2 linked regions of the Mytilus edulis genome follow. The protein of the gene in region 2 binds, or shares a complex with, the protein of the main gene of each other region. Links are inferred from orthologs where the notes say so. Each region holds a gene or a part of one and is shown on either strand. Other genes may lie near its edges.

Region 1 (8,117 bases), on a different chromosome or scaffold from region 2:
GGGGTATTTGGAGTCTGTGGGGTATTGTTAGGGACACTTAGATCATCAGTATCAGGACTAGTTAACGTTGTTGTGGGTTGGGTATTTGATTGTATCTCTTCACCTCCATCACCACCTAGACGACTGGAGATTTCATTATCAAATTTGAGTCCAGCTACACCTTTAACATCAGGTATACTAATTAAGTCTCTTTTAATTCTCCTCTTCCTCGATCTGTCATTTCTCCTATACTGAATCATGTTTTCTAAATCTATGATATACAAAAATCCTGCTATCAACAATTCAAATAGTTTTTCTCCTGTTTTGTGACGACTTTCTATTTCCTGGCTGGTTCTATCATCATATTTCCACCATCCATTACGACCTTCATAAAACCACTGATATTCATTATCAAATTTTATTGTCTTATCTAAATCTTCAGTTCGAACTAAAACAGGTTTGGCAAAAAAATCTGCAGGGATTTCCTGTCTACATAATGCACATTTTTTACTTCTGTTAGCTACACCTTTTACACATAGAAAACAAAATATGTGTCGACATGGTAACTGCACAGGATAAATACTAGGTTGTAAACAAACAGAACACTCTATGGTAGGATCACCTGAAAAAAAACCCAAAAAAACCTTTCAATATCTATGAGCGTAAGTTCATCATGTGTAGATATTAGTTTCAAACATTGTTCATACTACATGTATATCTTAAAAATGATCATAAACATGATAAAAAGCATGTAAAATATAAAACAAAATGTTTAAAAAGTATTGTCAGAATCAGTCATTTATATGTGGGGAAATTTGATTGATTATATACAGAATCACTGAAACATGACTGTAGCAGGCCCCCATTTATAAAAAGTTCTGGATCCCCCACTATATGTGTTTTTCTACCAACATGTTTGACAATTCCAAATAGGATCATATAATTTTATGAAGTAAAAGTTATTTTAAATTTAAGTTAGTTATTCTTAAAAGGAGACCATAGGCGGATCCGGGAAAAATTTGGTTGATTATATAGGGAATCACTGAAGCATGACTGGAGTGGGCCCCCCCCCCCCCCCCCCCCCCCCTTATGAAAAGTTCTGGATCTGCCACTGGAGACTGACCTCTCAGTTATTCAATTATTTTAAATTTTGAAAATCAGAAAAAATAAACTTCACATCAGCCATGTCAGCATGATCACAATACTTTAAAATATTAAAAATAGCTGATATCAATTTTTATAAAAAACTTGACAACTGGCAACTGCACAAGCTGAAATTGGCGGGAAAGTGACATTTAAAGGAAACACTCCTTTGTTAATTTATGTATCATTGTCATTTTGTTTAGTTTCTTTTGTTACCTATATATATTCTGACATCAGACTTTGACTTCTTTTAACATTTTAAACTGAGTTTTACTGTGCGTATTGCTGTGTGTTTGTTTTTTCTACATTAGCTAGAACTAAAAAGTGTAGGGAACATGGGGAAAGAGTTGAGATCTCACAAAACATGTTTAACCCTGCCACATTTAAGGGCCTGCCCCAAGTCAGGTGCCTCTGACCTCTGTTAGTCTTGTATGATTTTTAATTTCAGTTCATTTATATATTTCAGAGTTTAGTATGATGTCCATTATCACTAAACTTGTACACATTTTTGTTTAGGGGCCAGATGAAGCATGCCTCTGCAAGCAGGATTTTCTCCCTGTTTTGTAGACCCATTGGTGGCCTAGCTGCTCTATAGTCAGGTTGTTGCCTCTTTGACGCATTCTCCATTTTCAATTTTACTCCTGAAAAGGCTGAAATTTATTAAATAAATTCAGATTTTGGTATGTAGATTTTTTTGTGGGGAAGGATCTTAGAAAATCTGGGCAACCATTTGAAAAAAGAAGTATATCATACCATATATTATACTGTTCCCAGATCATACCTAACTTGGATGGAATTATAACTTATTTTATCGATACTTTTGGATATTTTCAAAAACATGCAGATGAGGTACTAATAATGTAAGAGTTTGTACATGTATATAAGCAAAAATTTTACTTGTCATTGAAGAGAAAATGTCAAATTCGGTCTTAAAGTTAAGAGGAGTTCAGCATACCAGGAACATATATATATTATACTGTTCCCAGATCATACCTAACTTGGATGGAATTATAACTTATTTTATCGATACTTTTGGATATTTTCAAAAACATGCAGATGAGGTACTAATAATGTAAGAGTTTGTACATGTATATAAGCAAAAATTTTACTTGTCATTGAAGAGAAAATGTCAAATTCGGTCTTAAAGTTAAGAGGAGTTCAGCATAAAAAATGACTTTAATGTTATATTGTACATGTACAATGTCAATGATGTAGGAAGGAGTCGCATGAAAAAACATGCATTACCCTTTGTGGGATAATTTTCGACAGACACCACCTGAGCCGGCCACCTGAGTCTGACTAAATTACTAGCTTACTATACAGACACAGTATGGGATTTGTTGATTGTTAAAGGATATATCATGTACAATGCCCAATAAATGCTTACCTCCATGTCCTATACATTGTAGATGGTTGCCTCAATAGCAAATCACATGTAGATCTCCTAATTTTATATCATAATTTCACGAATTATATACCACTATACCAGTCTTATTAAATACTTTTTTTACAAGTTGCAGTATCATGACTAAAAGTTACATATAAATATATATATATACCATTTTCTGTTAATTGGGAATCATACTGAATGTTCTGAAATTTTGTACTGGCTTGTTGTTGGTTTGGTTTGATTTCACTGCATTTATCTTCATCGTCTTGATCTGCCATCTCACGTTGCCGTCCTCCTTCGTCAGTTTCATTCCGTGCCATTTCTCGATTCAAGGTCGCCTGGTTGGTACAGTTGGCAGCACTCCCACTTCTTAGGCCAGGCCTGCTCATACCTGCTGCATTTGATGCAGCGACTAATTTAATGAATCACAAAAATCGAACACTTCCAGTTAGAACAGCCTTGACCTTTCATCGTCGTTACGAACTTTTCGAATACTTTTCGGAACACTAATGAACTTGTGCGGTACAAAATTCCATTGGAAAATCAAACTAAATTTAAAAAGTTATTATCAAAACGATTCTTTACACAGTGTAAAAGACCGCAAAATATTTATCCGAAAATAAAATATGATGACTAAATAAAAATCTGCCACTGGACACAGCATAAAATATTTCCGTAATGTATTGATTGGGCTTTTTATTTGTCTCAGCATGGAAGTATTGCTTCCATGGTCACAGCAAAGATTTGTACTATACAAATCATAGGTCCCAGTATACTTTCCTTTAAAATAAAAGTTAAACTTAAATAAGAAAGAACTGAAAAAATCTGTTTAGTTTAGATTTATAGCTCGATAAGACAAGATAAGATAAGAAAATTTATTTTATGTCGGGTTGTAAATACTACAAACATAAGCTCTGTAGAGCTTTTTGTCGACATTAATAACAACAACAACACATACAAGACATATATAGGACATATACAGCACACACAATAGACAATATAAAGACAGCTATATTGCATACGCAACTGAGTTCATATATAATTATATATAAAAGCAAGTACAATCAAGTAAAGCACTAAACTAGATTATAAGCACATGCAAAGCAGACAAATAAATAGGCTAAACTAGTTCTAAAAGTAGCATGAAAACATAAAAAGCCATAAAACTTATTTCATAGAGCCAGAGACATATGAATACAGGCTAGCCGATATGTCTCTTATAATACTGATAGAGCGTAATGGACTATCATGTTGAATACAATATATATATATAGTGAGATTCCATTTAGATATATCTCGGATATATATATTAAAACAAGTCTAAACTTTTGAAAACAACGTCCAAACCTATGATTGCGTTGGATAAAAAAACGCAATTTTTATACGTCTGCATGTAAAAAACATCGTTGTAGAAGGGTCTCAATACAGCACAAACAACATTTCCAAGAGACCAGTAAGTGTAAAAGTGTTTATATTTCACAGCTCGTTCGCTATGCCCGTGTCTGTTGTGACGTTTTTGATTTTAACGAACATAATCTATGTATTACTGGTAAATTATTAAACCAGGGATCATCGTAATGTATATCCATAAATTACTTAAAATCTTTATTAAATTTCCGATAGATATAAAAATTTGATTTTGAAGTTTGATTGTACCTGTAGGAAACTTATTTCAAACAGGATAGCACATCTTCATTTTTACGGAAATGTTGTTAACCGTGCCCGGAAATTTAGAAATGATCCTTGTAAACTGATCGCTCCTTTAAATAAAGTTATTCTAAAAGGTTACCAATTCAACAGTATAGTTATACCAATAAAAACAATCATTAAATGATTACAGTGTTACACTGTAATCATTTAATGATTGTTTTTATTGGTCAGTATATTAAATGATTACAGTGTTACACTGTAATCATTTAATGATTGTTTTTATTGGTATAACTATTGATTTTGTTATCAGTAAATTAAAAGCAAACTAAATATTACTAGTATGTTATATACATATACACATTCATGGATCTACATTCTGTCGATACCTGTATCTTGGCATTCACAAAGTCATGTTTTTCTCTGACTGTTTATGACATCTTAACACTGAATCCATTTTGTGTTGAATGCGTGACGGTTATAATGAAGTCAAATTATACACCTCTTTCTTTAAAAAAAATTAAACAAAATAGCAATTACACAATAATTGGAAACTTAAACATCGAGTGGGGATATTATATCTATAGAGTTTAAAATAGCAAGTGTTCTACAATGAGACTATCAAAATCCGTGTCCTTGAAAGGCTCGGAAATCCGAATAAATATTAGCCCCGCTTTCCTGTTCATCGTTCGAATATATATACAAAATATATGGTAAGAAATTTACTGTTATACCCATTTGTTTCTAAAATTGCAATTGCGTCTGAATGTTATGCATGCTTTTAAAAAAAAAAACTGTATAAAAAAAACAAAGAATATTCCTATCCGTACCCGACGTTTGTTTTATGATTTATAATCCTTTTTGACAAGCGCACCGGCAGCATGGCGGAATGGGACTTGACTTCGCGAATGGGACAGTATTTAGACCGTCATTTGGTCTTCCCTTTACTAGAATTTTTATCTGTGAAAGAAGTAAGTAGTATAATAAACATACATGACACAGAAAGAAACGTATCGTGATCCCGAGCTACGATTCAAATGAATGTTTATCCCATCTGTCATAGATGATCTGTCATAGATGAGGGAGGGTAGGAGGGGTCCTGATCCCGAATTCCCGGGCTTAAAAATACGAAATCCCGAAATCCCGGGCTTAAAAACACGAAATCCCGAGGTTCCGAAATTCGAAAAAAGAATTCCCGGATCCCGAAAGGGTCAATCCCGAAATCCCGAGCTTAAAAACACCCGATCCCGTAGTCCCGATAAAGGTCCTATCCCCCCTCATAGATAACCTTTCCGTATTGACCATATAAAACCCGATACCGGTACTTTCGATTTGAATTATTTTATAGATATTAACAATAAAAAAAAAGATAAAATAGCAAACCAGAACTACAAACAACTCTCCTATATTAACAAGATTGAAAATTATAAATTAAGACCAGACGTAATCCCTTTTATGGTCGTGTATCTTAGATTAATGCACCTCATCACTATTTCCTGCCATTACTGGACAATACACAGGTTCCTGTAAAGTTCTGACGCCACAATACAAAATATCTGACGCCACTATTGAAAAGTGATTGTGATATGACGTCAGTCAATAGTTTAAGCGGGACAGATTCTTTGGTCAGTTGGGAATAGCAATAAGGTGTATACTAGAATTAGATTCATTTCTGATTTGACCACTTTCAGAAATCCCTCATCAAGCACAGAGTAACTGGAAATGTTAGTAAAATGTTCAATGTCAAAACAATGTTCAGTTTCTTAAAGTCTAGCTATTTATTTGTAGAATTAGGTGTTTGATGATAAAAATTATCCTTATAATTATACATAGAAAAAGTACAAACATTTGGAAATAACAGAGACATATAATTCAAAAAGAATCGCAACTCAGAGAACTACCATCATATCTCTCGGTCACTAGGAAATCCTTGTGAGATCTTCTTCGGTAACTAAAAGTATTGAAAGTACTAGAAGTAATGATGAATGTTTTAAAATAACTTGATTTCTACCGTTATAAATGTTTGAGATACTTGTGTTGTCTATAACCCTCACTGCACATATATTAGTCTATAGTTAAGAAAATATTTTTATGTTTTCAGCTGTATGATGAAAAACAGATGTTAAAAGGGAAGTTGGATCTTCTCAGTAATACAAACATGGTGGACTTTGCAATGGATGTACATAAAAATTTATATCCTGACAAAGATGTACCACAAAGTAATTATACAGTTACATAAATATGTCGACTATATAAAGACAATAACACTCAGGTCCTGATGAGGCCTATTTATAGGTGAAACATGTCGACCAAATAAACAGATACTTTGCGCTAAAAACTTGAGTGTTGTTGTCTTTATTGTAGACATATTAATCACCACTTCAGGTGTTGGTTCACTTATATTTTTACACTTACATATATACATGTGATAAACATTATATCTTATTCACATCAAACAAATACTACACTTCAGCAATAATTCAACTAGGCATTGTTCCAGTGCATTTGCACACCTTTCTCTCGTAATGTGTTTAAGGAAATACGAAAATATGAACTAATTTCTGAAAGGATTCAGGAAGAAATTTTTATAAAAATGGCAATTTACATACCACTCCTCCTGCTCCTGACATGCCTGAATTAGTGCTTTGCATCGACCTAAATGACATATTGGAATAGAACAAAACTTGATTTACTGTAATACAAACGAGAAGATGGTTGAGAATGGTTGAACTATAATATTACTTACAAATGTGATTAAGGATTCAAAGACGATCAATTGTCTGGTTGAATTTTGATTTTTTAGACTATTCACTAATTCTGAAAATATGTATTATAAAGAACATGGATTAAACAAAAAATATATCTGTTTTCCATGGTCTCAAACTAGTATTGTATGAACTACAAAGAGTTATTTACAAGATTAGAATTAATTGTCTTTGGCCCAGGGCTTCTAAAAAAATTTTGAGCCAGCCGGACATTTTATATCTGATTCCAATTTTAATCTCTAAGACTAAGTCACAAAAGGCAATTATGGTAATCAAATGGCCATCCCAATGATTGACATTAGATTAAAAAAAACGAAATTAAACTTTACTTTGATATGAATTTGATGTTCTGATGTAAACTGTTAAAATTGGCAGTGCATCATTCAAAGTGTGTACATCAGCGTGCTCATATCTGCCGGCTCTTTATTTGTGCAAAATGACGTTGTCAAAAAATTTACTTTAGTTTTCAAAGTCAAACCGGATGTTGACACATTTTCCCAAACCGGATGTTGACTTGACAATGGTAAAACATGGACCATAAACGGATACGTAAAATCCGTGTACATTTACAAAGCACGACTGAGTGAAGAAGCTCTTTCCACGTTATTTCTTGAACAAAATACTTGAAATGAACGTTAGATACCGGTTTCAATGATTATTTTACCATTTTTGAAGAAATGTAGGATGCATAATTAAATTTCCCACCTGTGCACATGCGCACACGTGTTCTTATTCATGCAACATAGTTCTGACGATTTTTCATTTAAAATCTTTTTAAATGTTTCATCAAATCATGTTTATAAATGTATTTATTATAATTTAATCTTTTGGACTAATTCAATTAGATACAAACCACTGAAATGTACGGAAATAATTGTGAATAGACCGATTAATTTATACGATGTCCGGTACTGAAAATTATTGTTTACCTGTCATCTGAACAGGTAGTTTTCAGCTGTCCAACAACTAATTAGCTTGGATTAAAATTAGAGAGTATTGAAGTAGGGGTTGTTTTGATAGTAATTAATCATCATGTCACTTTTATGACCGGAAATGTGGGGCTGTTAAAGGCAAAAAATTGGGTCAAAAAGATCGTCAATTAGGTTAAAATGACAGAAAAAGCCTTAAAAACTAAAAAGTAGATGACTGTTTCATGCTTGGCCCAGCTGGACTTTTAACAGACATACAAATGA
Region 2 (7,664 bases):
TTAAGGTTGTTAACCTCTTTAATAACGGTACATGATCGTACATGGTATACTTGAATGGGAACCTTACCTCTGTATCTTTACCCCCTTCAAAGGAGAACCACACAGTTTCTGTGTGTTGAACGGGTGCTTTGGGTGGCGGTGCTCATTATTTACATTGGTGCTGTGTCTGTGGGTCCCATCACCATAATTTATCCATGAATTTTTTGGATCATCCTTCCACCATTATGTACATTATTTACATATATGAATATCACTAAAGATAATGTTTGCAATCCGCAACGACACCTCCCGACATTTTAAAATTCATGTATGTTATAATAAAAGTTCATGGCGATTTTTATCAATGTTAAAACAAGTCTATCCACACGGGGTTTTGTGTTAATATATAAAAACGGCTTCTTATTAATCGCTTATAATCTAAAATCTAGAATGTCCTCACATACGGAATATATATATAGAGAGCGACTTTGCCTGGTTAAAATACGTATTTAAAGCTCCATGTTTAAAAAATGTTTGCTCTTAAAAATCTAAAAGTTCAGTGTTCATACGAAATTACTGCATTGTGATAAAAGTATATGTACGGTAAAATCTAAAAGTATGTCCACTATGAATCTGTGGGCAATCCGGTGCTTTAGGACCCAGAGTCAATGGTATCCCTACCCCTCCCCCTCTCCATGCTAGCTTATCTTCTACGATGTGCCTCTAAGTCTTTTCGTCCAACAGTACATTTCTCTTTATGTGCAACTTGAAGAAAAGGTTTCTGGAATGGTTTTCCATACGGGCTACGCTGGCTGAGTTATGTCTATTTAGGTTGATGAGTTTTGCACTGTCGAGGAGCAATTGCATTTGCGTTGTAATGTCCAGGTCATGGAACCTTATGGTATTATTCATCTCATTTTGCCATATGTCATTCACCTCTTTAAGTATCACCGCTCTAACGGACTGTAACTTCTCGCATTGCATTACAAAATGTTCTAGTGTTTCCTCCTGTAACCCACAAAGCAGGCAGGTCGGGTCTGTTTCTTGTCTGTAGAATTGAATCCGTTTTGTTTGAAGTACATAAGTTCCAGTAATAAGGCGTAATCTGGTAGGGATTCTGCTATTGTCTAGAGCGGATTGACTCTTGTGTTGGAGGATTGGGTGAAGTTTTCCCTTGATGAGGTTTTGACTGCTCAGGTACTTTAGGCCCAAGTATAGTTCGGATATTTGTACAGTTTTGATGCTCCAGTATTTCATCACAGCGTTCTTTATCAATGTGATCCACTGAGTTTTCTTTGTTGGGTTGGCCAAGTAGGTGTTTGCTTCGCTGAGATCGTATAGACGTAGCAACTTGTTGACGTGTATGAACCAACTATTACTTTCCTCACTGCAGACTGTCAGTTGTCTTCTGGCAAGCTTTTTCTCGGTACTCTCTTCTGATTGATGGCAGATATTGTTAAAGAAAGTTAGCGTCTTAATGTGAATTTGGGCTTCAACCGGAAGAATTCCTGTGAGTATGTAGACTGCTGGATCAGGGCATCTTGTTGGCAGCGATAATATCTGTTTAAGCATCCTTTTTTGGAAGATCTCAAGTTGTTCAAGAGGCTTACCGGATGGGGTTAGAAGTTCCATTCCGTATAGTAGGACAGGGAGTATATACGTCTTGTAGATATGCAGTAGCGATTCAGGGTCCAAACCATTGTGTCCATGGAACCCGGCTCCAAGTAGGCTGTATGCACTCCTTCTTGCCTTTGTTATATTTTCGTTGGTGTTACTTTGTATATTGTTCTTCCGAGTTGTAGTTCTGATGATCCCAAGGTGTGTAGCCTGCTCAACATTAGGCATAGGTGTGTTACCCATCATCAGGTTGTCTTCTTCCATTTTGGTGTTATTGCTGTTTCCGCTTATTTTAATTACTACACTTTTCTTTGGCTGCAGCTGGTATCCTTCTGAATTGGCAAAATCAAGGGCCATGTTGACCATAATTTGAGCATCAGCTGGCTGCATACTCAATATTGCGATATCATCTGCGCATCCGGTGTTGTTTGTGTTGACATTCCCTATAGTCATGCCGTAGGTTGTGTTTTGGAAGTGGTCTAACAGAGGGTTGATGTATAACTTGTACAGGTCTGTACTCAGTATGCCTCCTTGCCTGACACCCATGCCTACTGTGAAACGCTCTGATGTTTTTCCGGACCATTTTATGCTACTTTCTGCGTTTTGATGAAGACTCCTAATGATTGTCCATGTCCTGTCTTGAATCCCAGCATGATATACCCTGCGGAATAGATGTGAGTGCACCACAGTGTCAAAGGCAGCTTTTGCGTCGAGCAAGACTAGGTAACCGTTTTGCTTTTTTTCCGGGAGAATTCGGTACATTTCCTCCACAGGTAGTGCTGCATTCATCGGGGAGGATCCTTTGGTGAATCCTCTTTGAGTTGGGTTTTGCACCTTCTGCACTTTTGGTTGTACCCGATCTCTAATGATGGCCTCAATTATCTTGCTCTCTACGGGTAAAATAGTTATTCCTCGGTAGTTTAATGCATCGTTTTTGCTGCCTTTGTTCTTAAATACAGGAGAAAGCAGTCCTATTTTCAGAATTGTTGGTATATCTCCTTCTAGGAATATGATATTGATGAGTTGAGTAAGGGCGGATAAGATATTATCTCCAGCATATATGAAATGTTCGATGGTTATATTATGGTAGTCTGCGGATTTGTTTCTATTTATTGTAGAAATAGCTTTACGGACATCATTTTCTATGACAGGGCGTATCGTTTCTTGGTCTACCAGTTTGCAGATATTGCTTATTTCCATTTCCACTTGGGAGTGGTACTCCGGGTTGCTGAAGGCCTCTTCTTTAAGTGTAGAAAGAGTACAGAAGTGTTCCTTAAATCCTTCTATGACTTTGTCTCCCGAGTATGTGGCGCCATTAACGTTTATATCCTGTATGTGTTCAATTCCCTTCCTGCGGTTCTTTTGAACTAGTTTGTGGAAGACCTCCATGTTATTCGATCTTGCTTCCATGATGCTCTCTTTTTCTGCCTCCAGTTGCCTTGCTACTGCTATGCGTACTGTTTTCCTAAATTCCTTTTTTCCTTGTTTTTTCTTGAGTGTTAGGGGATTTGCTGGATCGTTTGGTCTCCCACCTTTTTGCCATTCGTTGTACGTGATCCGTTTTTCCTTTAAGGCGTTCTTTATGTCACTATTCCATACTTTGAGCTTTGGTCTTGATTGATAAACTGTTTTATTTCCTGATGAATTTTGTGATGCTGTTGTGAGTATATCATTCATCCGCTCAACTACTTCTTGTGACTCTAATGAATCTGTAATAATTGATTCTTGCAGCTTCAGTGCCTCTTTGTCTGTTATTGCTTTATACAGATCCTTGTCTACCTTATCCCATTTAATTTTGGATTTCGGACGTTTTTTTTGGTTCATATCAAGTTTCTCATGCTTCCAGTTTATACTCATACTGATTGGATAATGGTCTGAGGCGTTGGTTTGGCATTTGAGGATTGACTTTCCCTTCCCTAGTATGTCTGGTGTTATGTTGTGTAGGAAATAGTCAATTTCAGAGCATTCACACCCCTTCGAGTTGATAAATGTATTTCCAATGTTATCAAATTTCAATTCAATTTCATTTATAAATTTCTTCAGGTACTCCTTTCTCTTGTTCGTTGGTTTTCCAGCATTAAGGTCTTCGTTAATGTCTCCACCTATAATAATGTGGTGAGTACTGATGTATTTTTGGCATATCTCGTGCAGTTCATCTATGCACTCTTGATATTCTATTTGATGGTTTTTGCTCCCGTTTGATGGTAGATACACGCTAACAACCAGTATTCGCCTAACCGAGTTCTCAAGTTCAATACACTGTATTTTTTCCGATCCGTCGTCAAGAGGTCTAATGAGATGATTTATGTTTGTGTTCCAAATGATTCCCACGCCACCGTATCCTCTGGGCATGGATACTGGAAGAATTGGTTCGTTCATATCCACCCCCTTGGCTGCAAAGTTTACGTTACAGTTAATATCAGAGATCATATGTATTTGAGAATGAAAAAGCCAATGTTCCTGAATTAAGATGATGTCATTTTCCTGTAGAATTTCGCTAATGGAGTGTCCACATGTTTTGATATTTTTACAGTTGTATGAGGCTATGCTGATGGATTTGTCCTTAGTGTCTAAAATTGGTTGATGTTGTTTCGTTGGGGATTGCTCTGCACTAAAAAAGGGTTGTTTCCACAAGCTGCACCTGTTGCCATGTTGTATAACGGTTGTTGATTAACAGGGTGGTGCGTTGGAGGGATTTGTGACTCTAGTCTTCTGACATAGTAGTGTTGTCTTGGTGGTAATGGTGCACTTGGACCAGGGTGTTGTACATGTGCCTTTTTTGTTCCATTCCATATCTTTCGGGTGTTATCAGATTTCTGTTGACATGCTCCTGTAGCAGCTTTCTTGTTTGGATGGCTGTATATTAGAGGTATTCCGTGGAGTTTGGTAGGGTCCTCGTTTGTTATTGTTCTTGGCGAGTAGTCGGCAGATATAGTTTTGGCCTCTTCAGTTTTGTGGCTGACAGAGATGTTTGGCTTGTCTTTGTTGTTCGTTTTCACCGAATCTTTTCGGTTATTAGTTTAGTCTGAAAACGAGGCTGAAAGACGATCACGTTTTGCCGGTAGAAATATGGCATATTTTAATCCCCCACAAATTCAAGATAACCCCGTTGGATGGGGTCCTTGTGCTATTCCTGAACAATTTAAGGACATGCCATATCAGCCCTTTTCAAAGGGAGATCGGCTCGGAAAGGTAGAGTACTGTAATGAATAAGTTGTCAACATATTGTAACTTTAAAAAAGGGGGAGGGAAGGATTGTCAGAATGATCCAGGAAAGTTCCTGGAGTATCAAACAGCAGATCAGTTTTGTTCCATCTGGTGAATGGTTTAGACATAATGTGTAAAATAATCAATTAAGATCGATGGTGCTTAACAAGTTGGCACTTGCTGACTTGGTCTTTGCCTTTGGTGCCAATCTAGGGGCTTCCAGGGGCGTAGCTACATTTACGTCAAAACGCCCGGGCGTACACTTGAATTTTATAAAAAAAAAATATCTCCATTAAAAAGATCTGGTTTAAAACACATCAGTGTTGTAAATCAATCTTCAATAGCTTGTAATTGCTTATAAAAGTGACGAAATCTATTTCCGATCAAATAGTGCCGTATTATATATTTGTTTATTTTCTTTCGGTCAAATTCTGAATCTCCTGGTAATTCTTCTTACTTTCCATTTGTTTAAAGAAATTCATAATCAGCTGAGATCCGATATGTGCTTTGAATTTTAGCCGAGCCTGCGACATTTATAACGCGAAAAAAAGAAATAGCGAACCTAGATTTTTTCAGCGGCGTCAACATTTAGGTTCAATATGTGGTTATTTTAATATCAATAATTTTGTCAAACCTTCATGAAGTTTTACGAAAGTTGGACAGAAGCATGCCTGATGAGGTCACATTTAAAATTCCAGTCTTTGATTTAGGAAATTTGAACAAAATTTCTGTAATGTCACTAATATCATTTATGTCTAGAGCTGCAGTTTGAATAATAACCATATTATACATGAATTATATAATCTCTCATGGTGCTTTATTTTTAGGTTTCTGATTGGACTGGAGCAACCTATCAAGACAAAAGATATTTAGGTATTGGTTTATCTAAGTAGAACGGTTATGTTTTATATAATAGTACATGTATTTATCAGATTTGCACCTATTTTTATTTGGAGTGCAGGTGTTCAGCTAAATTTCAATCAGAATATAGTAGACAATAGACAATATTTTATTAGCACAAACACATTTACATTAAATGGTTATGGCATACAAAATTAAATACAATATATAAGTAGCAGTTCAATAATCAAATAATAAAAAAAAGTACTAAGTATTATGGTTAACATGATCATGCAATAAGTCGAAGTAAGCATTTGTTGATTTTTTTAATTTAGAGTATCAAAATAAAAGCTTTAATTTATTAAAGAAACACATTTCTTTAGATATAGATTGTTAAAAAAAATAGGTTTTTTCTCTCTTTGCTTTATATATATATAACATCATTTTGGAAAAATCAATTGATGCATTTACTTGAGTATCAGTTTCCTAGAAGAATTAGACACTGTCTATGTCAAACATTCCTTTTGTATGTAAAGTCTACAATGGATCTCCATCTTCTCCCCGTTTTATTTGTGTTGATATGGAGGTAGAAAAACAACATCTTCACTAATATTTTATCTATACGTAAGTAATGATGTGTGTATTAAAAGTCTTTTAGACACTGCAGATTTATGTTAATATGTATAAACAACAGCTCTAAATATTTGTATTGCACAGGGAAATACAGTTCTTCATTTGGAGGATTAGGAAGCCAGTATGCTTACTACCATGAAGAGGATGAGAACAGTTTCCAACTTGTTGATACAGCTAAGGTTCAGAAACCAGTGTACCAAAGAGGAAGAAGAGTTTATCAACAGGTATGAAAACATATTGAAACAGGGTTCTAAAACAAATTATGAAGTATAATTGTTTTGCTGAGTACAAAACTAAGCTTTACTTATGTGGTTAAAAGAATATTGCTGAAACAAAAACCCTCAGTATAAAACAGTCATGTGACAATTTTGCAGGTTGTTTTTATAATCCTTTTCTCACATTGTCATGAAGAGCACATGTTGTCAAAAGTTTGTGTGTTTTTAAGACATCAATAGCTTAATATTGCTATTTGATATTTGTCTGCAAATAAAAAATGATGGAATCATTATGAGACAACAATATTACCGATAAGTGGACTGTCTCATTGTTGTAACATCATCATGATAATATTCAATCTTCAGACTTTATTTTTGAAGTCCTACAAATAAGAATTCTTATCAAATTTAACCACATATCTGCTATTTCAAGTAACAAACCATCTAGTATTGATTATATTCACCCAAGTAAACGAACAAATATTTTACAATAATCCATTGCCTCAGTTTGTTTAAATACAGTGAAAGGACCTAAAATTTGTTGCACAACGTTTGAAATTATAAATACATTTTTTTTGCAGAATAAACAAAGAAAGGAAAGAGAAAGAAGGCAACAACAAGCTCAAGCTAGTATGCAGGTGTTGTCTAAAACACAGAAAAGTAGAGAAAGGTACAGATATTACTTAAACTTGAGGGTTATTTGTCTTGAATGCTTTTTTTCTAATAAAATTAGATTTTTCTTTGGATAAAATTACCTCGATTGGGGGATTATATTGATTGATATATGTATAAAGGAATTTTTCGCAAACTGACTAAAACCAAAAAAATAATTTTGCAGCAAGTTCTAAAGACTTACATATTTAACAGAGAGTAAACAGCACACCTTACTGGAAAAACAAAGGAGTAAATACCATTCACAATTTAAAGTGTCATGAAATCTTCATCTTGTCTTTCTATACCAATGCATTTGAATAGGGGCAAAGTAAGCATTTCTAGTAAAAGATACTTTGCTAGCCGCCTTGTTTAATGTAGGATAAATGTTTGAGGATTTTTAATATTCTTTTCTCGTCAAACACTGAATGTTTAAATATGCAAGTAAAACTGAATGATGACAATAATGATACTTTTACAGGGATCGTCAGCGTCTGTTGAGGAAATGGCAGAAACAGTTTG

What was found. The genes of interacting proteins can lie anywhere in the genome.
Region 1: eukaryotic translation initiation factor 3 subunit D-like (region 2) and eukaryotic translation initiation factor 3 subunit E-A-like share a complex: the UniProt entries of both Drosophila melanogaster proteins name them as parts of the eukaryotic translation initiation factor 3 (eIF-3) complex. The link is inferred for Mytilus edulis from reciprocal best matches to the Drosophila melanogaster genes eIF3d1 and eIF3e.

What each region holds. Positions count from the first base shown.
Region 1 is NC_092344.1:103,021,563-103,029,679, forward strand, and holds the start of eukaryotic translation initiation factor 3 subunit E-A-like, read left to right. Parts: upstream 1-4,998; 5' UTR 4,999-5,040; coding exon 5,041-5,130; intron 5,131-6,260; coding exon 6,261-6,378; intron 6,379-8,117. Other genes in the region: E3 ubiquitin-protein ligase RNF146-like, read right to left, coding at 1-601, 2,682-2,901. UniProt on the Drosophila melanogaster protein: Component of the eukaryotic translation initiation factor 3 (eIF-3) complex, which is involved in protein synthesis of a specialized repertoire of mRNAs and, together with other initiation factors, stimulates binding of mRNA and methionyl-tRNAi to the 40S ribosome.
Region 2 is NC_092352.1:39,012,020-39,019,683, forward strand, and holds the start of eukaryotic translation initiation factor 3 subunit D-like, read left to right. Parts: upstream 1-4,592; 5' UTR 4,593-4,665; coding exon 4,666-4,788; intron 4,789-5,630; coding exon 5,631-5,676; intron 5,677-6,360; coding exon 6,361-6,500; intron 6,501-7,072; coding exon 7,073-7,161; intron 7,162-7,623; coding exon 7,624-7,664. UniProt on the Drosophila melanogaster protein: mRNA cap-binding component of the eukaryotic translation initiation factor 3 (eIF-3) complex, which is involved in protein synthesis of a specialized repertoire of mRNAs and, together with other initiation factors, stimulates binding of mRNA and methionyl-tRNAi to the 40S ribosome.